Linked DNA regions of Chlamydomonas reinhardtii. Each later gene encodes a partner of the first gene's protein in a complex. Links are inferred from orthologs where the notes say so. Each region holds a gene or a part of one and is shown in the gene's direction. Other genes may lie near its edges.

Evidence for each region.
Region 2: CHLRE_12g498100v5 (region 1) and CHLRE_16g676314v5 share a complex: the UniProt entries of both Arabidopsis thaliana proteins name them as parts of the eukaryotic translation initiation factor 3 (eIF-3) complex. The link is inferred for Chlamydomonas reinhardtii from reciprocal best matches to the Arabidopsis thaliana genes EIF3E and TIF3H1.
Region 3: CHLRE_12g498100v5 (region 1) and CHLRE_12g515650v5 share a complex: the UniProt entries of both Arabidopsis thaliana proteins name them as parts of the eukaryotic translation initiation factor 3 (eIF-3) complex. The link is inferred for Chlamydomonas reinhardtii from reciprocal best matches to the Arabidopsis thaliana genes EIF3E and EIF3K.

The regions. Positions count from the first base shown.
Region 1 is NC_057015.1:3,278,673-3,282,415, forward strand, and holds the start of CHLRE_12g498100v5 (uncharacterized protein), read left to right. Parts: upstream 1-1,346; 5' UTR 1,347-1,423; coding exon 1,424-1,579; intron 1,580-1,738; coding exon 1,739-2,869; 3' UTR 2,870-3,743. Other genes in the region: CHLRE_12g498150v5 (uncharacterized protein), read right to left, coding at 147-314, 580-708, 1,002-1,045. UniProt on the Arabidopsis thaliana protein: Component of the eukaryotic translation initiation factor 3 (eIF-3) complex, which is involved in protein synthesis of a specialized repertoire of mRNAs and, together with other initiation factors, stimulates binding of mRNA and methionyl-tRNAi to the 40S ribosome.
Region 2 is NC_057019.1:3,507,704-3,511,446, forward strand, and holds CHLRE_16g676314v5 (uncharacterized protein), read left to right. Parts: upstream 1-1,111; 5' UTR 1,112-1,207; coding exon 1,208-1,387; intron 1,388-1,549; coding exon 1,550-1,659; intron 1,660-2,092; coding exon 2,093-2,795; 3' UTR 2,796-3,414; downstream 3,415-3,743. Other genes in the region: CHLRE_16g675958v5 (uncharacterized protein), read right to left, coding at 392-617, 693-733. UniProt on the Arabidopsis thaliana protein: Component of the eukaryotic translation initiation factor 3 (eIF-3) complex, which is involved in protein synthesis of a specialized repertoire of mRNAs and, together with other initiation factors, stimulates binding of mRNA and methionyl-tRNAi to the 40S ribosome.
Region 3 is NC_057015.1:3,875,647-3,879,389, reverse strand, and holds the start of CHLRE_12g515650v5 (uncharacterized protein), read left to right. Parts: upstream 1-1,347; 5' UTR 1,348-1,375; coding exon 1,376-1,453; intron 1,454-1,565; coding exon 1,566-1,742; intron 1,743-1,936; coding exon 1,937-2,045; intron 2,046-2,207; coding exon 2,208-2,332; intron 2,333-2,612; coding exon 2,613-2,689; intron 2,690-3,092; coding exon 3,093-3,186; 3' UTR 3,187-3,743. Other genes in the region: CHLRE_12g515700v5 (uncharacterized protein), read right to left, coding at 1-156, 341-986. UniProt on the Arabidopsis thaliana protein: Component of the eukaryotic translation initiation factor 3 (eIF-3) complex, which is involved in protein synthesis of a specialized repertoire of mRNAs and, together with other initiation factors, stimulates binding of mRNA and methionyl-tRNAi to the 40S ribosome.

The DNA.
Region 1 (3,743 bases):
TCACGCGATACCTACCAACGCTTGAGCATACCACCTCGGAAACTCCAGAGTGCAGACTGCCCCCCTATACCAGTCCTTGGCCATCAAGGTTACCGTACCGCAAGCCCCCGTAACCCTGCGAGTGTCCGAACCGACATGAGCCCCACCTGGGCAAAGCCACCAGCGCTGTGACCTCGGGCGCCTTGCCCTTGCGGTGGGTGCGCACCGGCTCCCCGCTGACCATGTCCCAGCACCTCAGCGAACCATCTTCGCAGCCCGCCGCCACCAGCGGGCGACCACCGACGCTCTCAGGCGGCAACGCCACACATGTCACTCTGCACGACAGGCCCGCGGCAGGGACACGCTTGCGAGCAAGTCCTGAGCGGCATGTTGGGGTTCCACTACAGTGGCTGTTCGCTATGCCAGGGCCAGGACGTTGCTGGCACGTGAGGACATGCGCCACCAGATGTGTGCGAAGGCCGCGTCGCGGCTTCAGCAACACGCAGGCCGAGCGCAGGCAGCAAATTGCATGTGCTGCCCGCAATCATCCCGACCCACCCGCTGCCCACCCACTACCTTGCAACCCAAGGCTGTGCGCACCTGCTCCCGCCCGTGGGCAGCATGCGCTGCACGGTGCGGCTCTGCGCGCAGGCCACCACCACCGCGTAGTGGCCGCCATACGCCACCAGCTGCTGGCTCGGCAGCACCGCCACCACCTGGCTGCTGAACCTGTGGGCATGTGAGGCGCATCAGTGACCTTACCAATGGGTGTGATGTGGTCTGACATGTAGGGGCTACGAGCTATGTGGCATAGCGCGGCGCAATCGGCGGTTGACAGTGCGTGCGGCTGTGACCCCGGCCCCTGCTTCCGGAATGCGGGTTTGCGGCCCGTGGGCGCACTGGCTTGAACAGGCCTGACACTCTAGCCCTTGCACCACTTGCAAAACGCATCAAGAGTACAGGAGCAGCGAACGGCGTGGGCAAAGCACGGACGCTGGCTCCCGACTCCCGACTCCGCCTACCAGTTGGGGGAGGGCGGCAGGACCACCGCCGACGGAGCCGCCATTGTCTCGTGATTGGCTGCGCTGTTTCTGGGCTCCCGCAACCCTCACCAGAGTCGCGTAGGCAAGCGCAGAGAAACGCAAGAGTGTGGCGATAGAGATCACGTCATTTCCCTACAGAGAAAGGGAAATGTGCCGATGCCCTATCTATACATACACCTAACCTCTTATGTATTAGTTCGGAGTCCGAAAGCCCGTTTTGAGCGGGCCAGGCCGATGGGCACTCGGACCCCCATCCGGCACAGCGCGAGAGCGGGCTGCGCACCGGGGCGTAGATCGCCCGTTCCTTTGTCATTCCCGCAGCCCCCACCCCATAATTGTTTCACAGCGGACTGGTCAGGCCTTAGGACTAGGCAAGGGGCGTAGCCGCCGCCGAGAGAAAGATGGCTGCCACCAACTATGAGCTTTCTTCCAAGCTGGTCCAGTATCTGGACCTGCACCTTACGCTGCCTATTATGGAATACCTCCAAGAGCGCGGCCTTTACAATGAGGACGACATCCTGCGCGCCAAGCTGGCGCTGCTGGACAAGACGAACATGGTACGCGCTTAGTGTTTAGATCTGGAGACCTGGCACTTGGAATGAGCTATTGGACAGGCTGGGGATGCCGGAAGCGGGAAGGGCAGCTCAGCGAGTGCAGAGGCCATCGGCCTTTCCAGTTTGAGTCCGGGTCGCTGAGCGAAAAATTCGATGTTGTAGGTGGATTTTGCGATGGATATCTACAAGGGCCTAAACGGCGTGGACGAGGTGCCTGCGGAGATGAAGGACCGCCGCAGCCAGGTGGTGGCGCGTCTTCGCCAGCTGCAGGCGGACGTGGACCCCATTATCAAGTGTCTGCAGAACAGGCATGTGGTGGAGAAGTTCCGTCAGGATAAGAGCTTCAACCTGCAGTTCCTCCAGGAGGAGTTCCAGATTGGCGCGGAGCACGTCGAGGCGCTGTATCAGTACGCGCGCTTCCAGTTCAACTGCGGTAACTACTCGCTGGCGGCGGAGCTGCTGCAGTCTTACCGCACGCTCTGCACCAACAGCGAGCGCAACATCAGCGCACTGTGGGGCAAGCTCGCTGCGGAGATCCTCATGCACGAGGCGGTGAACATCCAGGAGGCACGGGAGGACGTGTTCAAGCTGAAGGAGGTCATCGACAACCAGACGTTCGCCCCCCCGCTGGTGCAGCTGCAGCAGCGCACCTGGCTGCTGCACTGGTCCCTGTACGTCTTCTGGAACCATGAGAACGGCCGCAACGACATCATTGACCTGTTCCTCTCCCCAGCCTACATCTCCGCCATCCAGATCAACGCGCCGCACCTGCTGCGCTACGTGGCGGTGGCTGTGGTCATCAACAAGAAGAAGCAGCGCAGCGTGCTGAAGGAGCTCATCCGCGCCATCCAGCAGGAGTCGTACGAGTACTCGGACCCAGTGACCCAGTTCCTGGAGTGCGTGTTCGTGCACTACGACTTCGACGGCGCCCAGCAGAAGCTGAAGGAGTGCGAGGCGGTGCTGGACAACGATTTCTTCCTGGCGGCCTACAAGGACGAGTTCATTGAGAACGCGCGCCTGTTCATCTTCGAGACGTACTGCCGGATACACCAGTCCATCTCCATTGCGCTGCTGGCGGAGCGGCTGGGCATGGACCAGGAGGCGGCGGAGAAGTGGATTGCCAACCTCATCCTCAACGCCAAGCTGAACGCCAAGATTGACTCCAAGTCGGGGACGGTGGTGATGGGCACGCAGTCGCAGTCCGTGCACGAGCAGCTGGTGGACAAGGCCAAGATGCTGTCCGTGCGCACCTACGTGCTGGCCAACACCGTGGTGGGCAGCGTCAAGCCGTAAGGCACCGCGGCGAGCAGCAGCCGGGGGAGGAGGAGCAGCAAGCAGGTGGGAGTTGGAGCCATGGCGGCGGGCGGGATGGGGTTGGCGGGGGCGCGGGGATGCATGTGGGCCAGGGGGTCGTCTGGGGCTTGGTATTGGCGGGAATGGGGTGGAATAGAAAGGCAAGCTCTGGAGGTGAAGAGTGCTGGATTCCTAAGGGATTGGTAGATGGGGTAGCAATTGCATTGGGCAGACGGCTGCTAGGCCCAGTTCCAGCGGTGCTCCGCACGCGGCATGGCAAGGAAGGGGACCCGCGGCCTGGTAACGGACGTGCAACAATTCGCCGGTTGATACGGAAGAAGCCCTGGGAACTGCGAAGAGGTTCGAAAGGTTGACGTGACGAGGAATCACTTTACCTCAAGCTCTGATCGCCATCCATCATTCCCTTTTGCCTTGTAGATTGCGGGCTTGCTTGTGGACGACAGCGGTGTGCAGGGCGCGGTCTGCCGCTTCGGCAGGCGATTCACGACAGCAGCGAGCTTTGAGTTACGGGATTCCGTTGCGGGATGGGCAGCTTTCTACAGCAGCAAGCGTGGGAGCGCTGGCGACGGCTGCTGCACGGATCAGACCAGGAGCGCTGGGCGGAGGGCGCGGCAGCGGGTGTGGGACAGCGCTGGCGAGCGGCGTTCGAAGGTGCTGATGAGATGAGCAGTGACGTAGACGGGCGACAGCGGCTTTGCAATACAGTGAAGGGCGGTAGGAGCGCGGCGGCTGGAATTTGCAGCAGCTGCACGATTATCCCATGGGCGGGGCGCAAGGGCATGCTTGTTCAGCGACGTGAGACGGGGGGGTCGCCCCCTTGGCAGTGTGTTCGCGCGCGCCAGCAGCAGCGCGT
Region 2 (3,743 bases), on another chromosome or scaffold:
AAGCGACGCTCAACAGGAGCACGCACAGGAGCACGCACAGGAGCACGCAAAGAGAACCTAAAGGCAACTTCTTGGGGTAGACGGGGCATATGACGGGTCAAGCCGCTGTTGTGCTTTGGCGCGCACCAGGAACTATCCTCTTCTGGTATGTGCGACAGGTTGCGGGGCAGGTGTGCAGGGTGGCAAGGCCCAACATGCACACGGTAACCCAACATGCGGGCAAACTGCGAATGAGGGCAAACACGCAATAGAGGTGTTGACCGGCGCATGGGGTGTCAGCGACGAGTACAGGCCGGGAGTTGCTGGCAGCGTGCACCGGGCCGGGACGGACACGTCCTGGGGTACACGCGCCCGCACACCCGCTGGTCCCAGTCGTGTCAACCCGCCGCACCTGGAAGTAGTAGTCCTGCTTCACGGCATCCCTGAACTTCTTTAAGTCACCAGCAGTGAGCGTGCGTTTGCAGAGCACCGCGTTCTCAACATCGGTGCGGAACTGCAGCTTGTAGGGAGTTGTCACCAACCGGTCGCCCTCAAGCACCTCGCCTAGGAATTCCGTCTTATACTCCTTGCCGTCAGTGGGCTGGCAGAACGGCAAGTTGTAATACTGGTACGTTTCCCTGCAAGGCAAGGAGCGAAAATCGCGCCGCGTTGGCGCGCGAGCTGGCACCGCTGGCTGCAGCAAAACTACTCACGTCGGGTTTTGAAAGGGTCCGACTTTGTTTGCATACAGCATGATGTCACTTCCGGGCTTGAATTTATGGTCGCTGCCCAGCAAGACTCGCTCCGATGCTACGAGGGCTACAGCGCTTCCGAGCAGCGCTGCCATCAGCAAGCTCGCGCGCAAGCGCGCCATACTGCCAAGTATACTTTGAGGCCTAGCCGCCCTCGTCAACGCGCAAGCTTTTGGCGACTGTTGCGACGATCCTAGTTCGAAACACAGGTGATGCTACTCGTTGTTGTTCAGCATAAGCACGAAGGTACAAGCGCGAAAAGTACAGCAGCAAACTGACATTTCAGGTCTGAGAGAAATTGCATTGCAAATGGAAGTGCGATCGGGCCCCGCATTGCAGCCAAACACACCCTGATCACTGTAGACATCGTGTAGTCGTATCGTTTACTCTTGTGTTTAGCTTTTGAAAAACAGGCTTTGCTTATAGGCACGGCGCCGCCGACTTAGGCCGCTGGTTTATTGCAGAGGCGCTGAAAAATGGAGGCCATCGCTCCTAAGCCGCATAAGGAGCTCGTGAAGACGGTGCAGCTTGAGGGTCAGGTGCTGCTGAAGATTATCCAGCATTGCACTGAGGCGCTGCCCCAGAACGTTACCGGCCAGCTGCTGGGCCTGGATGTTGGTCAACAGCTGGAGGTGACGGACTGCTTCGCGTTCCCGGTGAGCGCTGAGGATAGCAGGCGCTGAGGGCGCCAAGCGGACTTTTGGGCGGCCCCCAGATTGCTCGCGTTGTCGAGCACGCATAGCAGGGGAAAGTCGCGTGTATCAGCATATGCATATGCACAATAAAGATCGGCGATGGTGTGGGCCGGGTGTGTGCAGGCTACCGTGGCGGACGATGACTCCGAGGCAGAGTCGGCCGGCGCCAACTACCAGCTGGAGATGATGCGCTGCCTGCGTGAGGTGAACGTGGACAACAACACCGTCGGCTGGTGGGTGCAGTCAATGCGCGAGCTCGCGGGGGAAAGGAGAGGGAAGGAGTCAGGTGCAAAAGCAGAGGAGGGGGAGTTGACGTGGGGAAGCGCCCTTGGGAAGCGCCCCAAGGCGGGACGGTACCGTAGCACTCATGCTAGCCGCCGGGACATCAGCGGACAAGGGCATGTGCGCACTACATGAGCGGCACGCTAGCTGCGGCAACCACCGTGTATGAACCGCCTGTCAGAGTCCTTGCCTGCGGACACGAGGCCCGTTCGGCCGTTGGCGGGGCTCGAGACTGGCCTGGGGGCGACATGGCCATCAGCCACCCGCGACAGTACCGCAAGCAGAACCTCGGGGTAGCAGCCGCCGAGCATCTTCAGGGCTGGACCCGACTGCGCACCATGCGCTTGCCTACGAACCGTGCACCTGCCGGGCCGCACCCCACAGGTACCAGTCGGCCAACATGGGCACCTTCCAAACCGTGGAGCTCATAGAGACGTTCATCAACTACCACGAGAACATCAAAAAGTGCGTGTGCATCATCTATGACCCCCAGCGCTCATCGCGCGGCAGCATCGCGCTCAAGGCGATCCGCCTCAAGGAGTCGTTCATTGAGCTGAGCAAGGAGCAGAAGCTGACGCTCAAGGGCTTTCGCGAGGCCAACCTGTCGTGGCGTGATATCTTCGTGGAGCTGCCCATCCGCATCCGCAACAGCAACCTGGTGCAGGCGCTGGTGGCGGACCTGATGCCCGCCCCCACCGCGACCCAGGCGGACGTGGAGCGACTCAACCTGTCCTCGGCCCCCTTCCTGGAGCGCAACATCCAGTCGTTGCTGGAGTGCGTGGACGACATTGTGGCGGAGCAGCAGAAGGTGACCATGTACCACAAGAACGTGGCGCGCCAGCAGCAGGCGTACGCGGTGTGGCTGGCCAAGCGGCGGCAGGAGAACCAGCAGCGGCAGGCTGACAACCAGGAGCCGCTGCCGGAGGAGGACCCAAATCTGTTCAAGCCCATTCCCGAGCCATCCATGCTGGATAACTACCTGGTGACCAACCAGATCGCCACCTACTGCGACCAGGTCAACGTGGCGGCGGGCGAGACCATTCAAAAGCTGTTCCTGATGGAGGGCATGCAGAAGGCGGGGTTGTAAGCTCGAGGACCTGCGAGCGGAAGAGCAGGCGCTTGCTGGGGCTGCGGGCTCGGCTGTACAGACCCATGACCACGGGATGCAGACACGGGATGCAGGAGGATGGCACCGCTTATGATGGGTGCTGTCGCAGAGGCTGTGCTTGCAGGGGCCAAACATGAAGCGCGTAGTGTGTGCTGTGGGACTGTAGTGGTTTGAAGGCGGAAGGCGCTGTCTGGTGCAACTGCTCTACCGAGCACACCTACCAGTGGCATTAGTTATTAGGTGCTCAGTTTGAGGGACAAAGGGCGGGATGGGATTGGGTGGGGCGTTTGTGGTATGGCCGCGTTGAAGCACACACAGCTTGCGCTGTTTTGAGCGCGCCAGCTAGCGGCGCATAGGCAGACATGACGAGTGCAGAGTGTTGTTGCTCTAAGAGGGTGGACGTAACCAGTACACGATCAGACATTGTAGGAGGACTGCAGGAGTGCAAGTTGTGAGGTGTCGCTGTGTGCAACCCGCGGCAAGGTCCGTGACGGTTGACTCTCCTCGCGAGGGCGAACATGGGCGCACGTACAAGTAAGACAGCCCACATTCCCTACGCGGCAGGCTCTGCCTTGTCGGTATGTAAGCGTAACGGCATCTTCGCGCGTTCTCGTGCTCAGATATGTTAAGTGTGGTGCCCTCCGTTCATGACTGCGATGCGTGGGGTGGGTATGGGAGGTCGGTGTGCGTGGCTTAATACGGGAACATGGGACTGCGCCTCCCAGTGGCACCCCTGACGGCTCCTTCGCCAGCCTGCGCAGCCCCACAGTGCAACTGTCATTGCAGGCAAAGCCGCCGGCTTTGAGCAATGCGCCGACGCCATTTCTGCTTGTATTGGATTTGTAGGTATTAGCCTGAACTAAACCAAGGGGGGAGGGGTGAGAATCGCGCAGGCACACCCCACACTTCAAACGGCCTTTAAATCAG
Region 3 (3,743 bases), about 600 kb from region 1:
TGCCAGGCGCGGAAGCGCGTCGGGAGGAGGAGGTGGAAGCGGAGGAGGAGCCCTCGGGCGCGGGCTCGTGTGTGTAGGCGGGCGGCCGCAGCCCCAGCACCACCAGCAGCGCCTCAGCCTGGCGCGGTAGCACGAGGCACTCCTCGTACGGCAGGCCTGGGCGCGGGGCAGTCCGGCAGCGGGTGGGCGTTGGGGAGAGATGAGAGTGAGGAGGACGGACGGCGCGCAGGGCGCAGGAAAGGGTGACAAGGGTGCAGGAACGGGCTTCGCAGTAGTGGAGAGTAGAACGCTGCTGGCAGCACCTGATGGCGAGCAAGCGCAAGGGCGCAGACCCACTCACTCCGTATGGTAATGCTCTCCTCCTCTCCATCCTCCTGGGATGATGATTTCACGGCAGCTTTGCGTCTGGATACGCGCTTCTTGGGCGCCTGCAGTTCCCCATCAGGAGCCGCCGCCGCTTCCGGGCCCCCCTCTGCAACTGTCTCGGCTGCTACCTTAGTGCGACGCGTGCGCGTAACTTTTGGCTTTGCTGCAGCTGCGCTATCACCTCCAACCTCTGCTACTCCGGATGCTGAAGCAGCGGCCTCTTCGCCCGGCTCGGCAGCCTGCGCCTTGCGGCACGAGGCACGCTTCTTGGGCACAGCCGCTGCCGCCTCGGCGTCGTCCTCACTCGGCCCAGACGAGGGGTCCAGCCCTGCCTCAGTCGCGCTGTCAGTGGCAGCGGTCTTGCGGCTAGCCCGCTTCTTTGCCACTGGTACATCATCGCTGCTGCCGCTGGGCACGGCGGCGGCCGCGGAGGTTGCCCGGCGAGTGCGTTTGGGCTTGGGCGGCTCGCCGCTGGCACCGTCTACCGCTGGCAGGGCGCTGTCGCTATCAGCGGCAGACGAGGCAGCGGGGAAGCTGCGGAATCTGGGGATAGGTGCTATTGCAGACCACCTGTTGAAGGTCTGCAGCAGCGGCAGCGCCTGCCGCAACCGGAGGAGCATTGTGGAAGGTGACAGGACGCGAAGGGCGGGGCTGGCGCACGACGCTCCTCTTGATCGCTCGAGCGCCCGGCCCCTGCAGAGCCGCTCAAGGCGCGACAGTCTCTCCTAAAGCACGCGATAATTGTGGGGTTCGCGGCGTGTTCGGAGCAGGGAGAGAGCTTGGCGAGCTGTCGAGACGCGCGCTATGCAAGAAATCAGTTTCCCAGTGCGTGTATACAGCTTTACGTTCGTAGCTCATGCAGTATCGTTGCACTTCACAGACTAGAGAGTGGATTCTACCGCTTCGGAGCCCCATCATCGGCCATCGCAGCGTCGCATCCCAGGGTGAGCATCCACTTGTCTTGGTTTTCTTTTACGTTGACACTTCCTTTCTTTACATACCAGTTAAAATGTCTCTTATCGTGACTGGTGCTGATCGTTACTCGCCGGACAAGCTGCCACAGCTTGAGGCGTATGTTGATGAGCAGGTAGATCTGTATTTCTTAGCAGCCCGTTTAGTCCCCTGGCCCCTTGGTGCCAGCACGGCGACACATGCTCGGCGGCGGCAATTTGCGCTGAAAGCGTCCTGCACTGCTGCAGGTCGCGAACCGCTCATGGAGCCTGGATGCTAATGTTACGCTGCTGCGCTTCTACCAGTTCAGCCCGGCCAGCGTGAAGCCTGCCATTGTCGCTAAGGTGCTTATCAAGGCGATCATGCAGGCGCCCGCGCAGGACTACAAATGCTGCATCACGCTGCTTCCAGAGCGCCTGCTGCAGGTGTGCGAAGTGCAGTGGAATGGCGTTTAAAGCGTCAGGGCCTGGGGGAGGGGGTGGGTGGGGTGGGTTAGGGGCCGCACCGTGGGGTGCCGCCCAAGACACGCGGGGAATGCTGTGGCACCTTCATGGCTGTTTCCACACCTCTCCTGTTCCACTATTGCTCCATCCGTTGCACGAACCCTGCATTGCTGCAGTCTGACGAGTCGGTGTACAAGGTGGTGCAGCTCGCAAACGCGCTGGAGACCAGCCGCTTCGGCGACTTCTGGAACGCGGCCAACACCTGCCGCGACCTGCTGGGCGGCAGTAAGTGCAGCGCACGGGGACCTGGCTGGAGTGGGAGCCACTCAGCTAGGACGCAGGGGTTTTTAAAGGCAACGGATGCGGAATCAGAGGCAACAGAGGCGCCCCGATTGCCACACGTCACGAATGCCAATTAAACCAGCTCTATCTGCTGCTCTGCTGCAGTCCCCGGCTTCTACGAGTCGGTGCGCGGCTTCATCGCGCACACGCTGGTGCACACCTACGGCCGCGTGACCAAGCGCACGCTGGCGGACTGCCTAAAGCTGGAGGGCGCCACGCTGGAGCAGTACGTGAGTGATGCATTGCGCTTACGAGTTTCTTATGGGGGGGCGTGGTGGCGGCAGTGTCTCCGTGTGCGTTTACATGTGAATGGTGCGCAGTAAGCAGGGCTGGGTTGGGTAGAAAGGCGTTGAGGAGCGTCGCTTGAGGACGTGAGCGAAAGGGTTAAGCTGTGTGCATACGGCGGGGTGGGAGATTGTGACGCCGGCTTGAAGGTCCCTTCGCCAGTGCGCCTCATCAGCTAGCATCAGGGTAAAAACGCGCCTGCTGGCTGCTTGCTTCTGACCACAGCTGTCTGAAAAGTGCAAGTCGGCTGGCTGGAGCATTGTCAACACGCCCGCTGGCGAGGTGGTGGGGCTCCCCAAGAAGTGAGTACAGGCGCAGAATTCTGGACTGGCCTGCGGAGGGGGCGGGGTCTGCTGGCATTGCTAGGATGAGGGGCCGGGAAGCGGGGCACGCGGGCACACCGTGGGCGCACGCAGAGCTGAAACAGCTGATCGAACATGGTAACATGTTTGGTGCCTCCTGTGCCACATGGCATGATAGCGCCGCGACATCCCATGTCCACCTGCCCACCTCCAATCCTGCCGCACCTGTACTCTGGAAATGCACACCCCGCAAACAACCTCTCCTCCTCCATCAACACTCACCTACATATCGTGCTTATCTAGTATCAGATTGTCCTAAAAACTGGGGTTGTACCCCAAGTGCTACAAGCTCACGCCATTCATGGCCCTCCTGCCCTGTATTACGCCCGCGTTCTGCCCGCAGCGACGACAACCAGTCGGTCGTGAAGCGCACCCAGGAGCTCATCCGCTTCGACCAGGTGGCGCCCATGCTCAAGGCCGTGACCGTGGGCTTTTAAATCAACGCTACTACTGAAATTACTTGACGACACGACCATGACAGCATGACACACAACCATTACTGTCAGACTCTTCTAGGCATTAGATAGAAGACCGTTGGATCCCGGTATGCCCATCGGGTTGTAGACTTGAGTGCGTGAAGGGCATTCGTTGAGAAGCCGTGCCCCGCCTTGGGGCGGTCCGCACACGCATGCGAAGGCATCGCAGAAGGCGTTACTGTACTGACTTTGTTCGGCGGTATGGCACCCCATTACAAAGGAGGCTAGCTGGAATAGTACACGGCGCTTATGTAGCCAGCTGCTGGTGGCGTGTAGCGAGCTTAACGGGAGCCATCGCCTTGGCCAAGCCACGACAGCAGCCCCTTGACGGTGCTGCCTAGGTTCTCCGCAGCGGCGACGCTTGCACTGCGCGAGCCACCGCCGCTGCCCCCCGCGCCAGGGCCGCTGGCACCGCCAGACTCGCTGCCGCCTGTAGGAGCCGAGCCGCCGGTGCCGGGGCGCGGCGCGCCTGCGGACGGGATGTTGCTGCCGCTGCTTCGCTGCGGGCTGTTGTGCGC